Caenorhabditis elegans: one gene and its partner. The protein of the gene in region 1 purifies or fractionates together with the protein of each later gene. This does not show direct contact. Each region holds a gene or a part of one and is shown in the gene's direction. Other genes may lie near its edges. The genes, in order: myo-1 and C04F12.8.

What was found.
Region 2: the proteins of myo-1 (region 1) and C04F12.8 fractionate together in Caenorhabditis elegans (co-fractionation; one large-scale study listed by BioGRID). This does not show direct contact.

The regions. Positions count from the first base shown.
Region 1 is NC_003279.8:7,261,768-7,272,591, reverse strand, and holds the start of myo-1 (Myosin-1), read left to right. Parts: upstream 1-5,534; 5' UTR 5,535-5,656; coding exon 5,657-5,725; intron 5,726-6,305; coding exon 6,306-6,578; intron 6,579-6,955; coding exon 6,956-7,298; intron 7,299-7,350; coding exon 7,351-7,455; intron 7,456-7,507; coding exon 7,508-7,675; intron 7,676-7,722; coding exon 7,723-10,824. Other genes in the region: twk-1 (Potassium channel domain-containing protein), read left to right, coding at 419-511, 1,260-1,355, 1,528-1,687, 1,740-1,894, 1,940-2,578, 2,977-3,084, 3,130-3,234. UniProt on the Caenorhabditis elegans protein: Muscle contraction.
Region 2 is NC_003279.8:9,694,623-9,705,339, reverse strand, and holds C04F12.8 (Protein-tyrosine-phosphatase), read left to right. Parts: upstream 1-5,773; 5' UTR 5,774-5,784; coding exon 5,785-5,941; intron 5,942-6,118; coding exon 6,119-6,213; intron 6,214-6,318; exon of another isoform or gene 6,319-6,339; intron 6,340-6,829; coding exon 6,830-7,188; intron 7,189-7,538; coding exon 7,539-7,746; 3' UTR 7,747-8,103; downstream 8,104-10,717. Other genes in the region: C04F12.16 (Transposase), read right to left, coding at 79-221, 326-380; C04F12.7 (Membrane-associated protein), read left to right, coding at 8,630-8,768, 9,078-9,346, 9,396-9,596; C04F12.12 (Retrovirus-related Pol polyprotein from transposon TNT 1-94), read left to right, coding at 10,305-10,717.

The DNA.
Region 1 (10,824 bases):
TATCATTTCGAACTTTCCTCAACAGAGGCTGAAGTGATGTGTGTGTTAATTTGTGCAATAAAAAATAAACTTTTCTATCCTTTTACCACCTCAAAACCAGTTTTTCACAATTCGAATTCCATTTTTTTTTCAAAATTATCAGAGACTTACTTACCTATGTGTCATTTGTCAGTGTCTCTCAAAATTCTATACTATTTCTGACAAATAGCCTCTCATTCTAATTACTGGTCGTTTTTTGGACTAAAATGAGGGGTCAAAAGATTGGAAAATAAGACAAGTTTGTCATAAACGGCAAATAAAAACTCATTGAAAAGAGACCCGGCCCCTTTCAATACATTTAGTATCAATTCTCCAAAAGTTTATGATCCTCGTTTTCGATGTTCAGTGTGTTGCGAGAGACGGTTTATTTGCAGGTAACATGACTTTCAACGATGGTGACAACGATCGGATTGGAAAAGAAGAAGAACATGCTGGATTGATTGAAAATCAGATTATTTCACAGAAAACGAAGGTGAGCATTTTGACAATTCACTAGAAAAACAATGGAGAAACTATTTGAACTAAATATTTTTCCATACAAATATATCCGAGAGACGAAAATTGTTTTGAAATTTCGGCACTTTGGCAATTGCAGATCACGAAACATTTCAAGGTTTTAAGGCAAAAACAATTAATCTTATGTATGGAAGCTGCAAAATGTCCCGGCTTAAGGTTTCGAAAAGAATTCTTGTGAAATACGGTTCACAGAAAGTGAGAAATGCAAACATCTCATCATTCACATATGACAATGACCAAAATTTTTCTAAAAACTCTCTGAAATACGATTTCAACAAAATTATAAATTTCCTTGTCCTGCCAATACTTACTTAGGGTTACTGTAGAATAAATATTATTGTGGAAGTACTTACTTCCTTTTTCTATTTTCAGTGGTTTCTAATTAGAAATTCAAGTTTTCGTCAAAACAAAACAACTTCAGTAATTATTTTTTGAAACGATGACTCAACTAAACAGATCAGTTTTATTTTCAAAAATCGTTGAGAGAAATTTCAAGTGATCATATTTTTATAGTTTGTGTTTAACTAGAATATAATCAATGACCATCTCTCAAACTTTTGCAGTAAATCTTCTCATTTTATGAGATCAATTATTTCCGCTAGCATCTTTATCTTAAGATATCACCATCTTCCAATATATTTTCAACGAAACAATTTGAACCTTCCAATGATTTATCAGTTTTATTTTTAATATATATTTTTTAGAAACAATTACCATCCTGGCTGGATCGTCCATATCATGTTTGGAGGGATCAGTTTCAACAGGATAAATGTTGCCCCAAGAAAATGGTTAAGCGGGAGGTGAGCACTGGGACATTAACCAGAAAATTATTTTAAAAACAAAACCACTGTAGGCAAATGATGCTCAGGCGGAAGATTTTAATTATGAACAATTTTCTAAAACATGAAAATCAGAAATCAATTTTTTTAACGTGCTGGTAATATTTTTGAAAAATAAAGTTCAAATTTTCAGTTAATGTTTGCCTCGACATATGTTCTCATTCTGAACGTTGCGTTAATTCTTTATGTTCTATTCGGATGTCAAGTCTTCGATCTGCGACATTCTTCGACAAATAATGAAGCATCCTTCTTGGATAGAGCTCTTTTCTGCATTACAACAATTTCAACAATTGGTAAATATGATACTTTAGATCTCAAATAAAATAACTATTTGAAAACTGACAGGATATGGAAACATTGCTCCATTTGACGATCGAGGAAAAGTAATTTGTATATTATATTGTGTGGCTGGAATACCATTGTTCTTCATGACTGTTGCAACGAATAGTGTACTTGTTGTAGATATTTGTAATATTGTACACAGAAGTTATAGCTCACAGGTAATCTTTATATTTGAATTTCAGATGTTTAACAGTAATTTTCAGAACGTGGAGAACTCCGGATTTCGATGGTATACCTCTGCAATTCTTCTAGCCGCTCATTGTTTTATTGGAGCTCTCATATTCTCACTGTGGATCGATCAACTTGACTTTCTAGATGCATTCTATTTTAGTTTCATTTCGATTACAACTATTGGATATGGAGATTACTCCCCAACTCCAGAAGGACTTTTTCAATATATAATTGTAACTGTATACCTTTGCACTGGAGTTGCTACAATGCTTCTATTTTTTGCAAGTCTTCAAAAAGGAATCATGTGGATTCATTACTATGGAAGAAAGGTTTCAGATTCAGAAGAAGCTGAAATTTGGTTTGGAGGGCAAATGATGACTGTCAAGGATTTGGTCACTTTGGTGGCTGAAAAGTTTGGATCAACGCCGGAAAAACTGAGGGAAGTATTACATGATCTTGATAAGATATTGGAAGTTGCATGCAAACAAGCAGAGGAAGATGACGATGAAGAAGATTGGAGATCAGTTAATAATTCGGAAGCTTTATCTCCTCCTGCTCCAAGAAAGAAGACAGTTTTCTTATCAGGATCTTCCGATGGAGATGATTGTCAGGCAACGATTCATTCCTTCACAAGTACTAATCAGAGAAGTATTCCGAAGGATACTGAGTTGGTAGGTGATAACGGAAATATTACGGGAAATTCAGAAAAACAGAGTTTTCTTTAAAAAAAATTCCGTCCAAATTGGAATATTTATTTGAGGAGACAGAAATTCCCGACTGAATTTCCAGTTGCACCATTTCCTTTGAATCAAAATGTTCCCTCATGGTGATATCTACTTTACTTCAAACTTTAATTTAATTACTTTAAAAATAGAAACTCATTAAATGTTTCGGAAATTTGCTTGGAAAGTTCTTTATCCGCGGCTATATATCCCGAACTTACTTTTTAGCGTCCTTCCTATTTTATTTTTCGTCGTTTACTTTTTTTTTTGGCCATAGGAGCATTTTTAAGTCTACCATACGCTCCTTTAGATAAAAATATATAATTTTAATTTTCAATTTATTTCAGGCAATTCTTGCCCTCGGCACTATTCAACATCATTTGAGGAAACCATCAGTTCGAGGAATACACGGTCACCACCATCATCCAAAGATTCCATTTTCTAAACCGGCCTCTGTAAGTTAACTGAAATTGCTTCTAAGTGATATTTCATATGTTTAGGACAGCAATATTGAGTCAAAAGAAGCAATTACATCACTTGATTTACGGAAGAAAGCTCATCGGGTACACAGTGATGGTCGACTTTTACTGCAACAAGATGTGTAGATATTCTGCAATTTTAGATTTTTCGAAACAAAAAAAGAAACGGATATCAATAATGTGTTACTTTGTCAATTCACCTGGTCAAAACAAGTGGCTTTAATACGTAATTTTTTAACGAAAGAAACTCATTGTTCTGATTGTATTATTTCTATGGAAATAAATGAAACATTTTTCCCCAGCTGACTACGAGCTTAATTTTTCGTTTCAGTATTTGGAAACAAACTTGAGAACATAAAGTCATTTTATTAATAGGTTGATAACTGTATGTAGTAGAAAATAGTAAATTGACAGCATATTGAGCGCAGTCATTAAACAGTGGCATTCTCTGGTAAAGGTTAAAGTGGGAATAGACTCAAAAAGGTCTTAAACTAACTAATTTCATTATTCTTTAAAAAATATCGAAAATGTTGGGAATATTTTTGCCATCAGAATCCTTTTTGCATATATATTTATTGTAATTTTTTAATTAACTTATCCTTTGAATTTTTTAAGAAAAAATTCTGAAACAACATTTTCTAGTAGATCAGCAATACTTACAAGGAAAAAGAATGGTACATGTCACAGAAATCTTAGAAATTTCGAGAGTCTTCTTAAAAGTTTTTAGAAACTTTAATTTTTTATTTCAATTTGCTGAGAAACAAACTAATTCAACTTTTCGTGTTTCCAGACTGTTAACTAGGAGAAAATGATTTCAATTCTTGGTCGATGTACATACTTGATCGGTGTTCCCGTGTTCACTTTGAATTTCAGGGGGTGGCCCCGAGAACAAAGATGAATAAGAGGAGCGAAAATCTCAAAAAGAAACAGACACACACACATTTACGCACACACATACAAATACTGTGTGAGAGATATAGATGGGGGAGAAATTGGGCAAATATTACTATTAGAAAAACGAGAAAAATTCGAAGAAAAGGCGAGCGGAGGATGCGCAGAAGTATCCGAGTGTGGGATGGGGGAGCAAAGACATGGCACAAAAAAGTCGAGAGATTCGGTGAAACTTCCTTCACCAATGCCACTTGGTCTCTCATCATTATTACAACACATTTTTGGAGAGAATGGATATGAAAGTTAGGTTAAGCTACAAAAAAAACGTTATTTGCAACAGTTAAAAAAACAGGTTTCTCAAACAATCTATAACTAATAATCTGAAAAGTTAATTCCTAGCTGGGAGACTAATATCTGATCAGCACATAATATGTCCAGAGAGATCTTCGCAGCAGTGATATTGTGGCACACATCCCCAACGAAGTCGGCCACAATGTGCCAAACGCGCCTCGCAGTGAGTGCATTGCGGATGCTCGTTTTCGTGAAACACATATCGTACCGGTCCTCAATCGAAATGAGTATGCGCACATCGCGAATGAACTATGCGAATACAAAATAGTGATTTTTAAATGAAAACGTTAAGGTTGAATATCATGGTTTGACAAAAAAAATAAATACTTATAAAATTGCTTGAGGTATTAAGGTACACTATATTGAATATTATTTGGCAGCACAGTTTCTATATAACATTTTCTCATGTTAAATTTTTTGATGGATTTCTGAATTTTAATGTAGACAAATGTTTTCAACGACAAAGCATCCAACTTTGAATGTACTTCAAAGAACACGATGGAAGCAAAAATATTTTTTTAAACTCAAAACGTCGCTTTTTTTAAAATTTTTCTAAATAATTGTGTCCAAATCCGATTTAGATCTATTATTATTATTCGGATTTCTTACACAGTATTCATTAATGTTCTAATAGTGTTGTTTCTAATAATAAAATAAGACCAGTTTGCTGGTCCAGGTTACTGAAATCACTGATTCCAATTTTTTATACAAATATAAGTAAACTAAGAATGAATCCCTTAATTTTTTTTCTACATTTTTTTATCTACTCCCACAAGTTCCAAGCGCTTACTCTCAAAAATCTCTTACGTATGTCTCTATCCAATAATAATGTGTGCTCAAAAAAGCGCGGGCTCATTCCGAAAGAACCCCCTCCTCTGATTTTTTCAACAAGTTCTACAGTAATCTCTTCGTTTCTCAATTTAACATACTCTTTCGATGAACCTGAAAGATAAAGTACTTGGACTGGCGACGCAAAAGCTCAAAACGTATGGACAATGCACATCCAAGAGACGTTTGATGCTCTCGGCAACAGTTCATTGTGTGGATATCGGAGAGCCCCCTTTCTTGCGCACGGGCGCTAAGCAAGAGAGGAAGATGAGGGGGAGTTTGAGTTGCTCCGCCCTATGAAGTGTGCCGAGTGAAGCTCTCTCTTGTGTGTGCCAAACTATTATCCGTCCCTGCAGAGCACAGTAGTGTGGAGCTGTGTGCAGTGCAGCAGTAGGAAGAAAAAGAAGAAGTCACCCACCTGTTTAGCCTCATTTTTCAATTAGCCGTTCGTTTTAATTTCCACTGAAACAAATCAAGAATGTCGCTCGAACACGAGAAGGACCCAGGATGGCAGTACCTGAAAAGGTCGAGAGAGCAACAGCTCGCGGTAAGATTTTACTTCTTTCATTTTACTTTCTACTTTTTCCTAGGTTTACATTCGACGTATTTTTTCTCCTCATAAATCCTAATCTTCTCAAATTCCAAAATATTCGAAATTTATCTGAAGTCGCTGCTTTTTATACACTTCTAATAACGAATTGTTCCTTCAGTTTTGAACCTAATAAAATACCGTATTTTCCCAATTTGTCCTTCTCTCGACAAATAATATTTCATCTATTTTGAGTATAGAAACAATTCAATTTAATTTTCCAACTAGAACAAGATTCAATCTTTATTTTACTTGTTGAATATGTTCTGATAAACTTTAAAATGAAACTTTTTCAATTACAATAGAGTTATTTTAAAGTGGTTAAGTGAGCATTTTTACAGCAAAATATTAAAAATTGTTTCTTGGCTACTTTTTTAAACATATTTTCAAGGTTCAATCTCTTAAAATTCTTACCGGTTTTTCGGTAGATCGTTATTTTTAAAGCTTCTAAACTTCACCGTTTTGATATTTAGGATAATAATTATTTTATAACTATGTATGAATATAAATTAATTTTTATATTTTTTTTATTTTACAGGATCAATCCCGCCCATACGATTCGAAGAAGAACGTCTGGATTCCAGATGCCGAAGAAGGATACATTGAGGGAGTTATTAAGGGTCCAGGACCAAAGGCCGATACTGTTATCGTTACCGCCGGAGGCAAAGATGTAACTTTGAAGAAGGATATCGTTCAAGAAGTCAATCCACCAAAGTTCGAGAAAACCGAAGACATGTCCAACTTGACTTTCCTTAATGACGCCTCCGTTCTGTGGAATTTGCGTTCCCGTTACGCTGCTATGCTTATCTATGTAAGTTTTTTCAGTTTCAAAAAACTTCAAATAGAAACACGGAAAAAAGATCTGCGAAAATGCGTAGTTGGATAGGCAAATAGTGCGCCCACGCAAAAGTGGCAAAATGCTATCTTAAGTGGATCGAGACAGACGATGAGAAACAAAGAGAGTCATGCTCAATGTGCACAGTGAGTAAAGAGAAAATTTATATTGGAATTTTGGACTGAAATTGGAATGGTACTAAAAATATGTGATTCAACAAAGGCAGTATTGAGAATATAAAAATATCGTTCCAAAAAATAACTAAATTTGAATACTACTGAAATTTAAAGAAGTAAGTTCTATAAAAATGGGATATTGACTGAAACAAAATGTTCCAATTTGCCCATTTTCAGACCTACTCTGGACTTTTCTGCGTTGTCATCAACCCATACAAACGTCTCCCAATTTACACTGACTCTGTTGCTCGTATGTTCATGGGCAAGCGTCGTACCGAGATGCCACCTCATTTGTTCGCTGTCTCTGATCAAGCCTACCGTTACATGCTTCAAGACCATGAGAATCAGTCTATGCTTATTACCGGAGAATCTGGAGCCGGAAAGACTGAAAACACAAAGAAGGTTATTTGCTACTTTGCCACCGTCGGAGCTTCACAAAAGGCTGCTTTGAAGGAGGGAGAGAAGGAAGTTACCCTTGAAGACCAGATCGTTCAAACCAATCCAGTATTGGAAGCTTTCGGTACAGACATAAATTAAAAAATTAACACTTGTCTGATAATTTGGTTGTTTAGGTAACGCCAAGACTGTCCGTAACAACAATTCTTCCCGTTTCGGAAAGTTCATCCGTATTCACTTCAACAAGCACGGAACTCTTGCTTCCTGCGATATTGAACACTGTAAGTTGATAATAATGATAAGAAGTTATTACGAAAATCGTAAATTGTTCAGATCTTCTCGAGAAATCTCGTGTCATCCGTCAAGCTCCAGGAGAGCGTTGTTACCATATCTTCTACCAAATCTACTCAGATTTTAAGCCACAACTCCGTGACGAGCTTCTTCTCAACCATCCAATTTCCAACTATTGGTTTGTTGCTCAAGCTGAGTTGCTCATTGATGGTATGTTTTGTATTTCTGGAGAATGAGATTAACTTGTTTTATTCCAGGAATCGATGACACTGAGGAGTTCCAATTGACCGACGAGGCCTTTGATGTTCTCAAATTCTCGCCCACCGAGAAGATGGATTGTTATAGACTCATGTCGGCTCACATGCACATGGGTAACATGAAATTCAAGCAACGCCCACGTGAGGAGCAAGCCGAGCCAGATGGCCAAGATGAAGCTGAGAGAGCTTGTAACATGTACGGAATTGATGTCGATCAATTCCTTAAGGCTTTGGTGTCTCCAAGAGTCAAGGTCGGAACCGAATGGGTATCCAAGGGACAGAACGTTGATCAAGTTCACTGGGCTATTGGAGCCATGGCTAAGGGGTTATACGCTCGTGTCTTCCACTGGCTTGTCAAGAAATGTAATCTTACTCTTGATCAAAAGGGAATTGATCGTGATTATTTCATCGGAGTACTCGATATTGCTGGATTCGAAATCTTCGACTTCAATTCCTTCGAACAGCTCTGGATTAACTTCGTCAACGAAAAACTCCAACAATTCTTCAACCATCACATGTTCGTTCTTGAGCAGGAAGAGTACGCCCGTGAAGGAATCCAATGGACATTCATTGATTTCGGACTTGATCTCCAAGCTTGTATCGAGCTTATTGAGAAGCCACTCGGTATCATCTCTATGCTTGATGAGGAGTGTATTGTTCCAAAGGCTACTGACATGACTCTTGCCCAGAAGCTTACCGATCAACATCTTGGAAAGCATCCAAACTTCGAAAAGCCAAAACCACCAAAGGGAAAGCAAGGAGAGGCTCACTTCGCCATGCGGCATTACGCCGGAACTGTCCGTTACAACGTGTTGAACTGGCTCGAGAAGAACAAGGATCCTCTCAACGACACCGTTGTCTCCGTCATGAAGGCTTCGAAGAAGAACGACCTTCTTGTCGAAATCTGGCAAGATTACACCACCCAAGAAGAAGCTGCTGCCGCCGCTAAGGCCGGAGGTGGTCGCAAGGGAGGAAAGTCTGGATCTTTCATGACTGTATCCATGATGTACAGAGAATCTCTCAACAAGCTCATGACTATGCTTCACAAGACTCATCCACATTTCATCCGTTGTATCATTCCTAACGAGAAGAAACAATCTGGAATGATTGATGCCGCCCTTGTGCTCAACCAGCTTACATGTAACGGAGTGTTGGAAGGAATTAGAATTTGCAGAAAGGGATTCCCCAACAGAACTCAACATCCAGATTTCGTCCAACGTTACGCTATCCTTGCCGCCAAGGAAGCCAAGTCATCGGATGACATGAAGACTTGTGCCGGAGCTATCCTTCAAGCACTTATCAATCAAAAACAATTGAATGATGAACAATTCAGAATTGGACACACTAAAGTCTTCTTCAAGGCTGGAGTTGTTGCCCACATTGAAGATCTGAGAGATGACAAGCTTAACCAGATTATCACTGGATTCCAATCTGCCATCCGTTGGTACACTGCCACTGCTGATGCCGGAGCAAGACGCAAGCAACTCAACTCATACATCATCCTTCAACGCAACATCCGTTCCTGGTGCGTCCTCCGTACTTGGGATTGGTTCTTGCTGTTCGGAAAGCTCCGTCCACAACTTAAATGCGGAAAGATGGCTGAAGAAATGATCAAGATGGCTGAAGAGCAAAAGGTTCTTGAAGCTGAAGCCAAGAAGGCCGAATCTGCCAGAAAATCTCAAGAAGAGGCTTACGCCAAGCTGTCCGCTGAGAGATCAAAACTTTTGGAAGCTCTCGAGCTTACCCAAGGAGGATCTGCTGCCATCGAAGAGAAGCTTACCCGCCTCAACAGTGCTCGTCAAGAAGTTGAGAAGTCTCTGAATGACGCCAACGACCGTCTTTCGGAGCATGAAGAGAAGAACGCTGATCTTGAGAAGCAACGCAGAAAGGCTCAACAAGAAGTTGAAAACTTGAAGAAGTCGATCGAAGCCGTAGATGGAAACTTGGCTAAATCTCTTGAGGAGAAGGCCGCCAAGGAAAACCAGATCCATTCCCTTCAAGATGAGATGAACTCTCAAGATGAGACTATTGGAAAAATCAACAAGGAGAAGAAGCTTCTTGAAGAGAACAACCGTCAACTTGTCGACGATCTTCAAGCTGAAGAAGCCAAGCAAGCTCAAGCCAACCGACTTCGTGGAAAGCTCGAGCAAACTTTGGACGAAATGGAAGAAGCTGTTGAAAGAGAGAAGAGAATCAGAGCTGAAACTGAGAAATCTAAGAGAAAGGTTGAGGGTGAACTCAAGGGAGCTCAAGAAACTATCGATGAGCTCTCCGCCATCAAGCTTGAAACTGATGCTTCCCTCAAGAAGAAGGAGGCTGATATCCATGCTCTTGGAGTCAGAATTGAGGATGAGCAAGCACTTGCCAACAGACTTACCCGCCAATCCAAGGAAAATGCTCAACGCATTATTGAAATCGAAGATGAGCTTGAGCACGAGAGACAATCTCGCTCCAAGGCTGACCGTGCTCGTGCTGAGCTTCAACGCGAGCTTGATGAGCTCAACGAGAGACTTGACGAACAGAACAAGCAACTCGAAATCCAACAAGACAACAACAAGAAGAAGGATTCTGAAATCATCAAGTTCCGCAGAGATCTTGACGAGAAGAACATGGCCAACGAAGATCAGATGGCTATGATACGCAGAAAGAACAATGACCAAATTTCTGCCTTGACCAACACCTTGGATGCTCTTCAGAAGTCTAAGGCTAAGATCGAGAAGGAGAAGGGAGTCCTCCAAAAGGAACTCGATGACATCAATGCTCAGGTTGATCAAGAGACCAAGTCTCGTGTTGAACAGGAACGTCTTGCCAAGCAATACGAAATCCAAGTTGCCGAGCTTCAACAAAAGGTTGACGAGCAATCGAGACAAATCGGAGAGTACACTTCCACCAAGGGAAGACTTTCCAACGACAACTCCGATCTTGCTCGTCAAGTTGAAGAGCTCGAGATTCATTTGGCTACCATCAACCGTGCCAAGACTGCATTCTCTTCTCAACTTGTAGAGGCTAAGAAGGCCGCTGAAGACGAGCTTCACGAGCGTCAAGAGTTCCATGCTGCCTGCAAGAACTTGGAGCACGAACTCGATCAATGCCACGAGTTGC
Region 2 (10,717 bases), 2.4 Mb from region 1:
AATAAATGAAATGGAAAAGAGTTATATTCTCCTCCTCGCCAATTTGTCGTTCCTACTCCGTCCGCACCTATCCATCGTTCACATCCAAAGTTCCAATTGAAATGCCTTTGAAAGTACTGCCATCCAGCCATTTGCTATCGAGCCATCCCATTTGGTCCATCTGCCGTACGTCCGTTCGATTCCGGGTTCGATTTGATTCATCATCTGTCGAAGGTGGAACTCTGTAAAAATAACAAAATTTATCCGAAACAAATGCCGAGGTTCCCTGTCATCAACGGATTTTTAGGGTTATTTTTCGTAGGCGGATTAGAAATTGAAAACTTACCTTTAATCGATGTTGTCTTCTCCAGGTAGTTCGTTGAACATCTTGTTGGCGGCATATTCGAAAACCGAAAATTCGTAGAATAAACATTATGACAAAAACTGCAATGTTATATAGCAGGTCTTATCAAGATGTACCAGTTTTTTAAATGACCTCCCATTAAAGTTCATTAACAAGTTCGTTTAAAAAATGTCAAAAAATTTTTTTTTATTTGTAATTTTTTTAACTGAACTAAATCAAGTTAAATAATTCAAACTGTGATTTTTTACGTGACCGGAAGGTTAGAAAAGAGGGTATTGATTCTCATTTTTAGTTTCAAAAATATGGCTGAAAAAGTGTGTGAATCAGTTTTGAACATTTTGATTGGCAAAAAAATGCCATTGAAAGGGATAAATACATTGACATTCTGTCTCTCTTTTTCTCTTTTCTAACCTGTTTTCCGTCTGTTTTTGCCCTTTTCAATGTTTTCTTGTTTACCGCAATCATTTTCAATTCTCGTCTTCTCAAATGTATTTTCTTTTCGCTTTTTTAGTCCAACTCTTGTCATGGCGGGTTCACGAGACAACATGTGAGATCATCTCTATTTATTTCCTTGCACCGCTCTGACCTTCCTCTCTCCAAGTGTGTTTCAGTTTCACTTGAAGTTTTAAAACCAGATATTTGAATTCATCGAATACCGGATCACATGATTTATAATTTTGGGCTGAAAAACGGTTATCTTTCTGTCAATAACAAGTGAACGGTAAGCGGAGATTCTTATGATTCACCATTTTGCAGCGGAATGAAAAAATCTCATTTAAAGAATAGAATGAAAAATCGGAACAACATATGCCTCTTGTGAATTCAATTTTGTGCTCTTTTAAAAATTTTCGCGTAATAATTTTTCAGCATACGGTCCACTTTTTCTAAATGTATTGTTTTTCTTCAGAATATTTGTGCTGCACCCCAATGCTCCAACTTAGGTTGCTCACACCCCACCTGCAATCAATACCTGATCTTGGAAACTGAAAACTCTTGATTTCTGATTTCTTGAAAGTTTTACCTCTCCTCTCTTAAATCTGCCCAAAAGAAGATCCTCTGCATCATTAATTGATTTCCGTTCCATCTTATATTTTTCGTAATCCATCTTCCATGAGCAATTCTTATCTTGGAGTCAGCTCATCAAGAAAATTTTATTTTTCTCTCCTCTAATCTTGCCAATATTTCCTTTTCGGCTTTCCATCTAATCCAAATTCGGAAATAAAATCCTAATCTCTTGAGCCTAGAGAGCTTTAACGTGGATATGTAATACATGGCTCTCGATTTTGAATTTGCAGGTTTAGAATAATTTTCTTTTTTGTGACAGCTAAAACCCCTTCAATTGTTCATTCAGTTATCATTGGACTAGAAAAAGTTGTGAAAAAGTAAAAATTAAGAGACAAGAAACTTCATTCACTTGTTACCGCTTCGACGCCTTTCTTCATTCTATTTTCATCTTCTCGTCCCGTCTGAATTGTGCTCTCTTTGTTCATTTTGTGAATAAGTAGTGACGACTGCTCACCGACAGCAGGAAGGACATTTTTCAGCGTCTGATCAACAACTTCTTCTCATTCTTCTTGTTCGTGTTTTCTCACCTTCTTTTCCCATATAACTTGTTTTTCATTTTCCTATTGTTATCACTCATATATATTCTCTTATTTTATTTTGTTGCAAGTTTATGGGAGCCTCTATATCTTGCACTTGTTTTTGCATATAACTTTTGAACGAGTATTGCTCAGAACCATTTGATATCATGATAAAAATAATTCCAAAAAAAGGTGGCAAGCAATATCAGCTCTGGAAAAAGTATATCATCTTAATCTGAAAACCTACATCATTTCCGGTTTTCTGTTGTCAAGGGAGGCAGTTGTGTAATGTTAAAGTGATAAATGATAGATATATCACTAACACAATCTTCTAACTTACACAAATCGGAAAAGTTATCAAGAGAGACCTCGATTATTGTGTAACATCTTTATTTCTCATCCTCCTCCCAATTTCAGCTGATTTCTAGATACAATCTTTGAAAGTCTGCGTCTTTTTTGAGCTGATCAACGATCCAGTGTCATTTGAAATCTAAAAACTTCTAAAAAGTGGCCCAGAAATTGTCATTTTCCCACCTCAACCACTCGATTTGTTTGTCTCTCAAAAAAAAGGTCGAACACGAAAATATTTGCTGCTCTTTTCTATTTGGACAACTCTTTCTGTTATTATTGTGATTGCTGATTCTCCTTTGATTTGCTTTTTATTCTTTAGTCGTTAGTTGTTTTTAGTTCTTCGCAGGCGGTTTTTTTTAACTTTCGGTATTTGTGAAAATTAAATGGTTAGAAGAAACCAGAGAGCATAAAAATGTTTGAGCTTTGAAAACAAATTAATCTGGTAGCATTTTTTCAAAAAAACAAAAACTTCCAAAAACCTTGACCAATGTTTGTTTAATCCTATGAATACATTTAAGATCTTTGACAGTTTATTATAAAAAGTCTGCATTGAAAAAAAGTCTACAAGCATCAAAATTTATTTTGAAAAATTCACCAAAAAATTTCACATTGAAATAAAAAAAATGCAAATTTTTAAAATGAAATTTAATTCCATTTAAAAGTGTGGAAAGTGTGCTCGAAATTGGCTGTAGGTTGCAATTGACAAATAAAGACTTTCAACTCAGATCTACCGAGAAATTCTCAATAAAAATAAATTTTATTCTCGAATTACCAAAATATATTTTGTATAAATAAACCTATGTTTATAATTAATTTGAAAATTGGGTTATTATACCGAAACGAGCAGTTTTGTAAATTTGAAGATGACGCACACCCCTGTAAACAAATTGAGAAAGTATGGTCATGCCAAAGTAATAGGTAATCACCTCTTTTTCATATGCAGAGGGTTGTTTAAAATTCTTGGAAATCTTGAATATCATCTTCTTCTATTTTTATCTTCCCATGTCTTTTTGTCTACATTTCTCTCAACCTACACTACTTTTCATCCATTATCACCCTCCCTCAAGCTTTTTCTAGTTGTATCAATTTCGTTTCTTTCTCTAAATCTCTTTATTCTCAACACTATTTCACATTCTGAGCAAGAAGATTACACCTTTGTCCTACGGGTACATGCGTACTCGGGGAGATGATACTTCCTCCACAATTTTGTGCCATCGTCAAAGATCAGTAAGAGTAGTTAAGACTCGTTTGTTTTGAGAAACAAGTTTCATTCTTTAACCATTTTCCCCAAAACAACCACAATTTTCAAACTCTTACCTTCACTTTCACTTTTGATTTGAAAGTTTCTCTAAGACGTTTCTAGAAACATCTTGTTTATGCTTACTGTGGAAATGGTTTCATCAATTGTTTTTATAAAAGAAGTCATTTGTTATTTTGGACGATTTTGGTTTATTTTTCTCAAATTTTACGAACACAGAATTTGAAATTATATGTTTTTGCTAAGTTACTGTGCAGCAGGCTGATGTGATAATTTCGGCAAGTTTTAACCCACTTCCTACTGTGAAAATTTTAAAAAAAGTAAATATAAAAATGGAAATAACTAAATTTTTGGAAAATTATAATTAAATTCCCTCACTTATACAGATCAGAAAATATAAGAAAAACATAAGTCAATGATAAAACTAGAAATAATTTACTAAGAAAGGCAATGCAATTGGGCATTCAAATGGGAATTTCGCCAAAACTGAACATTTATCAATTTCCAACTTGAAATAAAAAATTTCTGCAGATTGATTTCTGGAAGCATTTTGGCACTCGCCGATTTCTGAAATTTTGTAATATTTTCGGAAACTAAAACGTAAAGTTTTTCGCACAATTTTATAACTGTAAACATCTCACAACTTTGAAAATGGTTTCACTCACACCGTCACAAAGCTAACTCTGAAGTTCCATAAGCTTCAGGTGATTTAAAGCGAGAAAACTGAGAACTTCTATATCTAGTCATCTGCATTCTCTCTTGATTCCTCTTCTTCTCACCCTCTGAACTTTTACTTTTTAATCGTATCGTTTTGGCTGAAACGATACCCTCTCACTCCCACAGGAACGCATTGTTCCTCCTTTCGCCACGTCATTCACTTCCAACAAACAAGTCACCTTCTCCTCCCACTAGTTCTTTGTGAGCAAATATTAGGAAAAGTCAAGGAAAGGGAGAAACAAAGGGTCGAGAACCAGGTGATGATCAATGTTTGGGTTGCCAACTACCGTTTGACACACAAATCTTTACTTTCTTTTCCACTTGAATAAGTGATATGGATAGGTTTCTTAGGTACATTCTCTGAAGATAGTCTAGATTCTTCTAGAGAAACTCTTTTGGGGATTACAATTTTTATTCCAAAAATTTTTCAGCTTATTTTTCACAGATTCATAAAATTTTGATAATTTTGGAGGTTTGGTGAACTTGTTGAAATAGTCAAAATTGTTTTGAGCGTTTAAATTTTGAAGTTTTTAGAATTTTTATTTACTTCATTGGGTCAAAAAATGAAATCGTTTCTTAAAATAGAAATTTTCAAAGCTTTCAGATTGTTTTTTTAAAGATTAAATGTTTCCATATTGTGAAAATTTCATGAAAACGACTTGAATATTATATAATATTAACGAACATAGTTTCACATATTAAAATTTCAAATCTCATGTATCATCTCTTTATAGTTAACTTGATTTTTTGAGTCATTACTGGAGAAATGCCCGTTTTCCAATTCCAAACTGATCGAAAAAAGTTCAAGAGAAAAATGACCGCATTTATCAAATGTAATAACAGGGTAAGAATTCAGGAAATGAGTGGGCTCATTTTGTGTCACGAGAACCAGATGCGTTTTTGTTCGGAAAATGATGAGTTACATTTTGAACATTTCGCAAAAGTCCAGCAAGAGCTCAGTTTATTTATTTTTTCTTCCGTTAGAACTCAAATCGGTGTTTTTTATATTCAAAAAACATTCTCTTCCAGTTTCGTCCACAAGAAATTTTGCGATATAAATAAGAAAGCAGGTGTGTCTAAAAAAGACAGATTATCTTTGATTCCTCAGAAACCGCAAAAAAATGTCGAATTACAAAATATTGTTACTGTTTCTAACCCATCTTAATACATAAATCATCAAAAACCATTTCTCGAAACAAGAGACAAAATGTTTTTGCAAATGCCATCTCTCTTTTCCTCCACTAATTTCCTTTTTCATTGCCCAAATTCTTTGCCGCCGGGGGAAACAGTTACTAACTTTTTTTAAAAATTTTTCTCTCTATATCTCTTTACCTTGTGACCGCCATTTACCTTTGAAGTTTGTCGAAAAATCCGGTTTTGTACCAATTTTGCAAATTTTTCCCAAAAATTCATTTTTTCAAAGGAAGTCTAACTACCATGTAATGTATTCTTTTGTCCTTTTAAACTGCCTCTCCTTTTTCTAAAACTCTTATATTTTAGATATATTTAACTTTAAAATGTTTTTCAGAAATATGTCGAGGAATGTTGGTGTTCTCGGACAAATGTCTGAAATTAATGATCATCTGTATCTTTCGGGTGCCGGAGTTTTGAAGCCAGATAAAATTAAACAAAGAAAAATTAATATGATTGTAAATGCAACCACTGAAGAGCCATCCACGTATATGCAAGGTTCGTTCGAATTTTCCTTAAAAAAGAGAAAACACCCCAATCCACCAGCCATTTTTCGATTTTCCACAAAAATACGGAAAAATCAAAAAAAAAAAAAATTTCGGCGATACTCTTGCCCCGGAAAAACTATAAACTACCTTTTTAGAATCAATTTTGATAAACTTATACCTATTTCAGGAGTTGACACAATGAAAATTCGAATTGAAGATCATCCATATGCAAGGCTCAGTGAGCATTTTGATGTTGTTGCTGACAAAATCCGTAATGTTAAGGTATATTTTAGTGTTTAAAATCTTCAACTTCCTAGAGTTTTTGAAATGTTTTCAAAATTATGTTTCATTTAAATGTTTCATAACTTCTGTTCATCGTGTGGACATTACGATTTAAAGAGAAGGAACGAAGACACAAAAGAGAAAAAAAAAGTAAAAACCAGTTGTTTGTACTCTCGACGGCCGTTCTTAACTGAATTTATGAGTGTAGGCGGAATGGACATTTTTACGAGTGAAGAGAAGAAATGGAAAGTGTTACTGACTGGAGTGAACTTTAGAACGGATAAGGGTCATGGCAGAAATGTTATGAGAGTTTTAAAATCTGAAAATATAAGGGAATTACATATTTTGTTAGAAGTTATGGAAGACAATTTGTTCTTTTTTTAAGACTAGGCTTCTATGTAGGCAACAAATGTCTGCACACCTGCCTTCAGGCTTGGCTCAAATCACACAGGGATCCACATGTACTCTAAAAAACGGAGCGAGGTTATAGGCGGCCTCCCGCCGGGCGCCTATAATCTCAGTTCAAATGTATTTAAGACATAAATTTTAAAGTCAGTTCTTTAAAATTTCTTGTTTGTTTTGAAATTGTACAGTTTTTTCAAATCCAATTTTTCAGGAACGAGGCGGAAAAACACTTGTACATTGCATGGCTGGAGTATCAAGATCAGCTTCATTGGTAATGATTTATTTGGTAAAACACGAACATATGACTCTCCGACAAGCATATCACTACGTCAAAGCAGCTCGACCAATTATTCGTCCAAATGTTGGATTCTGGAAACAAATGGTTGATTATGAGAAACGATTGAGAGGAACAGCATCAGTTAAAATGGTTCAGACACCGGAATGTGATATGCCAATTCCAGATGTTTATGCAGATGATATAAGAAGAATGCAGATTAATAGGGAGATCAGTAGGCATTCATTGCCTTCTGCACAGAGCTCCGCGAGCAAGCAGAGAGCTTTTTCAGCAAGGTGAGACAGTTCTCAAACGTTTGCTGCTATTAAATTTTTATAAAATTTCCAAATTTTCGATTTACCGATTTTTAAAAGTTTTTTTGAAGTTTTAGAAAGATCGAGTTTCAAGAAAGTGAACAACTAAAACCTGACTAATTGAAAAATGAAGGTTTGCAAATCGGAAATTCAATAAAGGGATATCGTAACAAATTTCTTCGTTTCTTTAAACGATTTTTCATGAGTTTCGCTAAACTTTTCGGTATTTTTCTCAGTACTAGTACGTTTAAAAATGAAAGAGATATGAGGAATGCTACCGTAAATGTTTCTCGCGGCGAGGGTTCTTACTATAATTAACTTGAATATTCCAGTACATACCGTCCATCCGTATCATCTGCCTCATCCCTTGCCACATCATCACTTCGTCGAGCATACAGTCCATCATCACTTCCGGCTTCAAGTCTTGCTCTTACCACTTCATACAGTCTCTTTTCTCCTGCTCCAACAAGAAAACCACGTCAAAGTCTATTCTCAATGTACTCAACTTCGCCACGTCACAACTTTTTCTCGGCATTTTAACAATAATGTTCTACTGTGTCTCTTGTTTTGTATCATATTTTGACCAAAATTTCAATACTTATCTACTATCAAAAATCAAAAAGCTTTCTTCTAATTTCGATGTAGTTCCGCACTCAAATTTTTATTAAAATTGTATTTTATTTTTTTAATTTGAAATTCTTAACTTTTTTTAAACTTTTCTAAACGCGAAAAAAAGTGGTAACGGGTTGATTTTTCCCCACAAAAACACACAACAATCAACATATTTTCCCATTTTTCCTTTGTCGCTTATTGTCACACACAAATCCAAAGTTTTTCTGTGTATATCATTCCGATAAACATTTTAAAATCTTTTTGGTTGTTGTTCTGAATTTCAGATAAATTATTGAAATTAATAATTAAATTTCTTTCACCTGTTTGGTTTTGGATTTTAATCACGTCTTCAGGAGTAAGGGCCTGTCTACTGCCCACTTTCTGTTTGTAGGTACATAGTGTCAACTAGGCACAGGACGAGGGTCGCCCAGAGGTCGAACAAGCTTATAGAAAGTGCCTTGCATAACTTTTTTCAACGTCAGAGAAAAAATTCAGATCAACTCTGAAAGTGCACATCTGCTGCTGAAAATTCTACCTATTTTAATTGAATTATTTTAAACGACACAGTTTTACATGGAAGTGCAATGTTCAGAAAACTTTTCTCCGTGAAATTGCGTAAAGATTTTGTATTAAATTTAAAATTCTAAACAATTTCACGTCAAATTTTCATGAAAAACGAACTTTCCTACCTCAACGCGATGCCCTACTCTATTTATTTGACACGTCGTAATAAATGCTCAGTTTCTTCACAAATCAATCAGTACTCGATACTAACTAACTTCTCGTCTTCAATCTACTAACCTTCAACAAAATGGGATGCTTATCGTCAATTGAAGCACCACTTTGTGCTGTCATCACTGTCATCTTCCTAGTCAGTGGTCTCTACTCAACTGCATACAAAGTTGCCGGATCAAAAACGGTACTCGATGAGACTGCTCTGGATACTAAAGGTTAGTTTTGCATTTTGTTTCAGATACAGGAAAAGTGCACTGAGCTTGAACTTGATGTAGTTTCAAAGAAGACCTTTGAAACATACAAAAGTTCATGGTCAAATGATCACTTTGAACTATGTCAATCTGAAGTTGTTTCATGTTCTTTTGAAAAAAAAAAAAAAAAAAAAAAAAAAAAAAAAACCTGACAACAAAAAAAAACCTGACAACAAAAAAAACCTGAGAACAACTTCCAAATGACATTGGTTTTATCTGTACATCGAGAATTAATCTCGAACATATCGACCCTAGAAATATAGAATGTTTCAGATATGTTGATGACCGCATTGGCACTCATGTCACTCATTGGACTCTGCTCAACTCGTCGTGCATTTGGTGTCTTCACTCTTCTCTTCATGATGCATGCATTTGTATTCTCAGCTTTCCATCTTGCACATACAATTGCACTCTTCATTAAATCATTCGATTCTCCATGTCAATATCTGAAAACTCCCTCAACTGGAACACTTAATTCGGATATCTGTCATGCTGTTAATGGAGTTACTCTGGTGTGTGCAGTGATTTCAATGATTGCTACTGTAAGTTTCTTAGATTTAATCTAATTAGTTTTATCTGAAAATTGTTCAGGCTCTTGCCAGTATGGCCGTCTTCATTCGTCTCACTACAGTCGTCGTCAAAATTTCGGATAAGAGAGTTATGGCAACAAGTCGTTCATTTGACAACTCAATGCCACAATTAATCAGTAGAAAGTCAATTGAATCGGAGAAAGAAGAAGATTGTTTGGAGACACCAAGAAGAAAAATGGGACAAGCTGATATCTTTGTGTGATTTTAATTGATTTAATAAATATTTCATTAACCCTCCGAGTAGCAAGAATATACATTTTAATAAACGGGATCTCAGCAACAACTTTCTTGATACTCCCTCCTTGACTGCACATAACAGTCGATAAATTGAAAATTATTTTGAAAGTTGCAACCAGCACACCAGCATTTTCAATTGCCCTTTTTCCCAAAACTGAATCTTTAGTTCTTGAAAAAACTAATTTTCTGGATAATCTATTGACTTAGAAACATAACTTTTTAAAGTTTTAAAAGCTTGAGATAAAGTTAATGTACAATTGTGAAATAGTAGTCGACGAATTGAGAAAAGTAGCTTAAAACATTTTCAGACAATTTTTCTCGTAATTTACATTAAATTTCAGTTTGAAAAGTAACTTTGGTTTTTAACGGTGGAGTTATGATGGTGTTGAAATAAAAAAATCGAAAATTGTAATTCTGATATATACGTGATATATTCCAATTTCTTATCAATAAAACTAATCTGGCAAAAAATCCCCCTCCACGAAACGAAATCGAAAATTAAATTATTTCGGTTTTAGTCCAACACTTGGAACACATTTCGATTCGCATCATTCGCAGTGGTTCAGTTTTTATTTAGAACTGGCGGACATCCAGTTTTTTGGATTTCGGATGTCCCCGATGTCGCCCTCGATAGGTAACATGAAGGAATAAGTATTTTTGCAGCTCACTCAAGATGGCATACGTCAAGAGCTTCTACATGGATGCTAGTTTGGAGAGCGACGCCGACGTTCTTCCAGCAACGGAGAGTGACGTGTTCGAGGCACAATTCATTGCCGATGTCCCACTGAACAGCGATGCAATTGCCCGTATCATTGATTCTCAACTCGCGTTTGAGCAAAGCAATCAGGTGGTTTCGGACTATTGCACCGAGAAGCCAGTGGAGCTTGAAAATCCAAATCAGCTGGCAATGAATAACTCAGTTATGGACAATCAGCAATACTTTGCACCGCCAAAAACTGATTCGTCCCACTATGCATGGAACACGAATGACGTTGTCTCTTCTCATCATCAATATGCTGCACAGAGTCCAAACATCTACACCAACGACTATCATACCAGTGAACCATCTGATTATGTCTATATGTG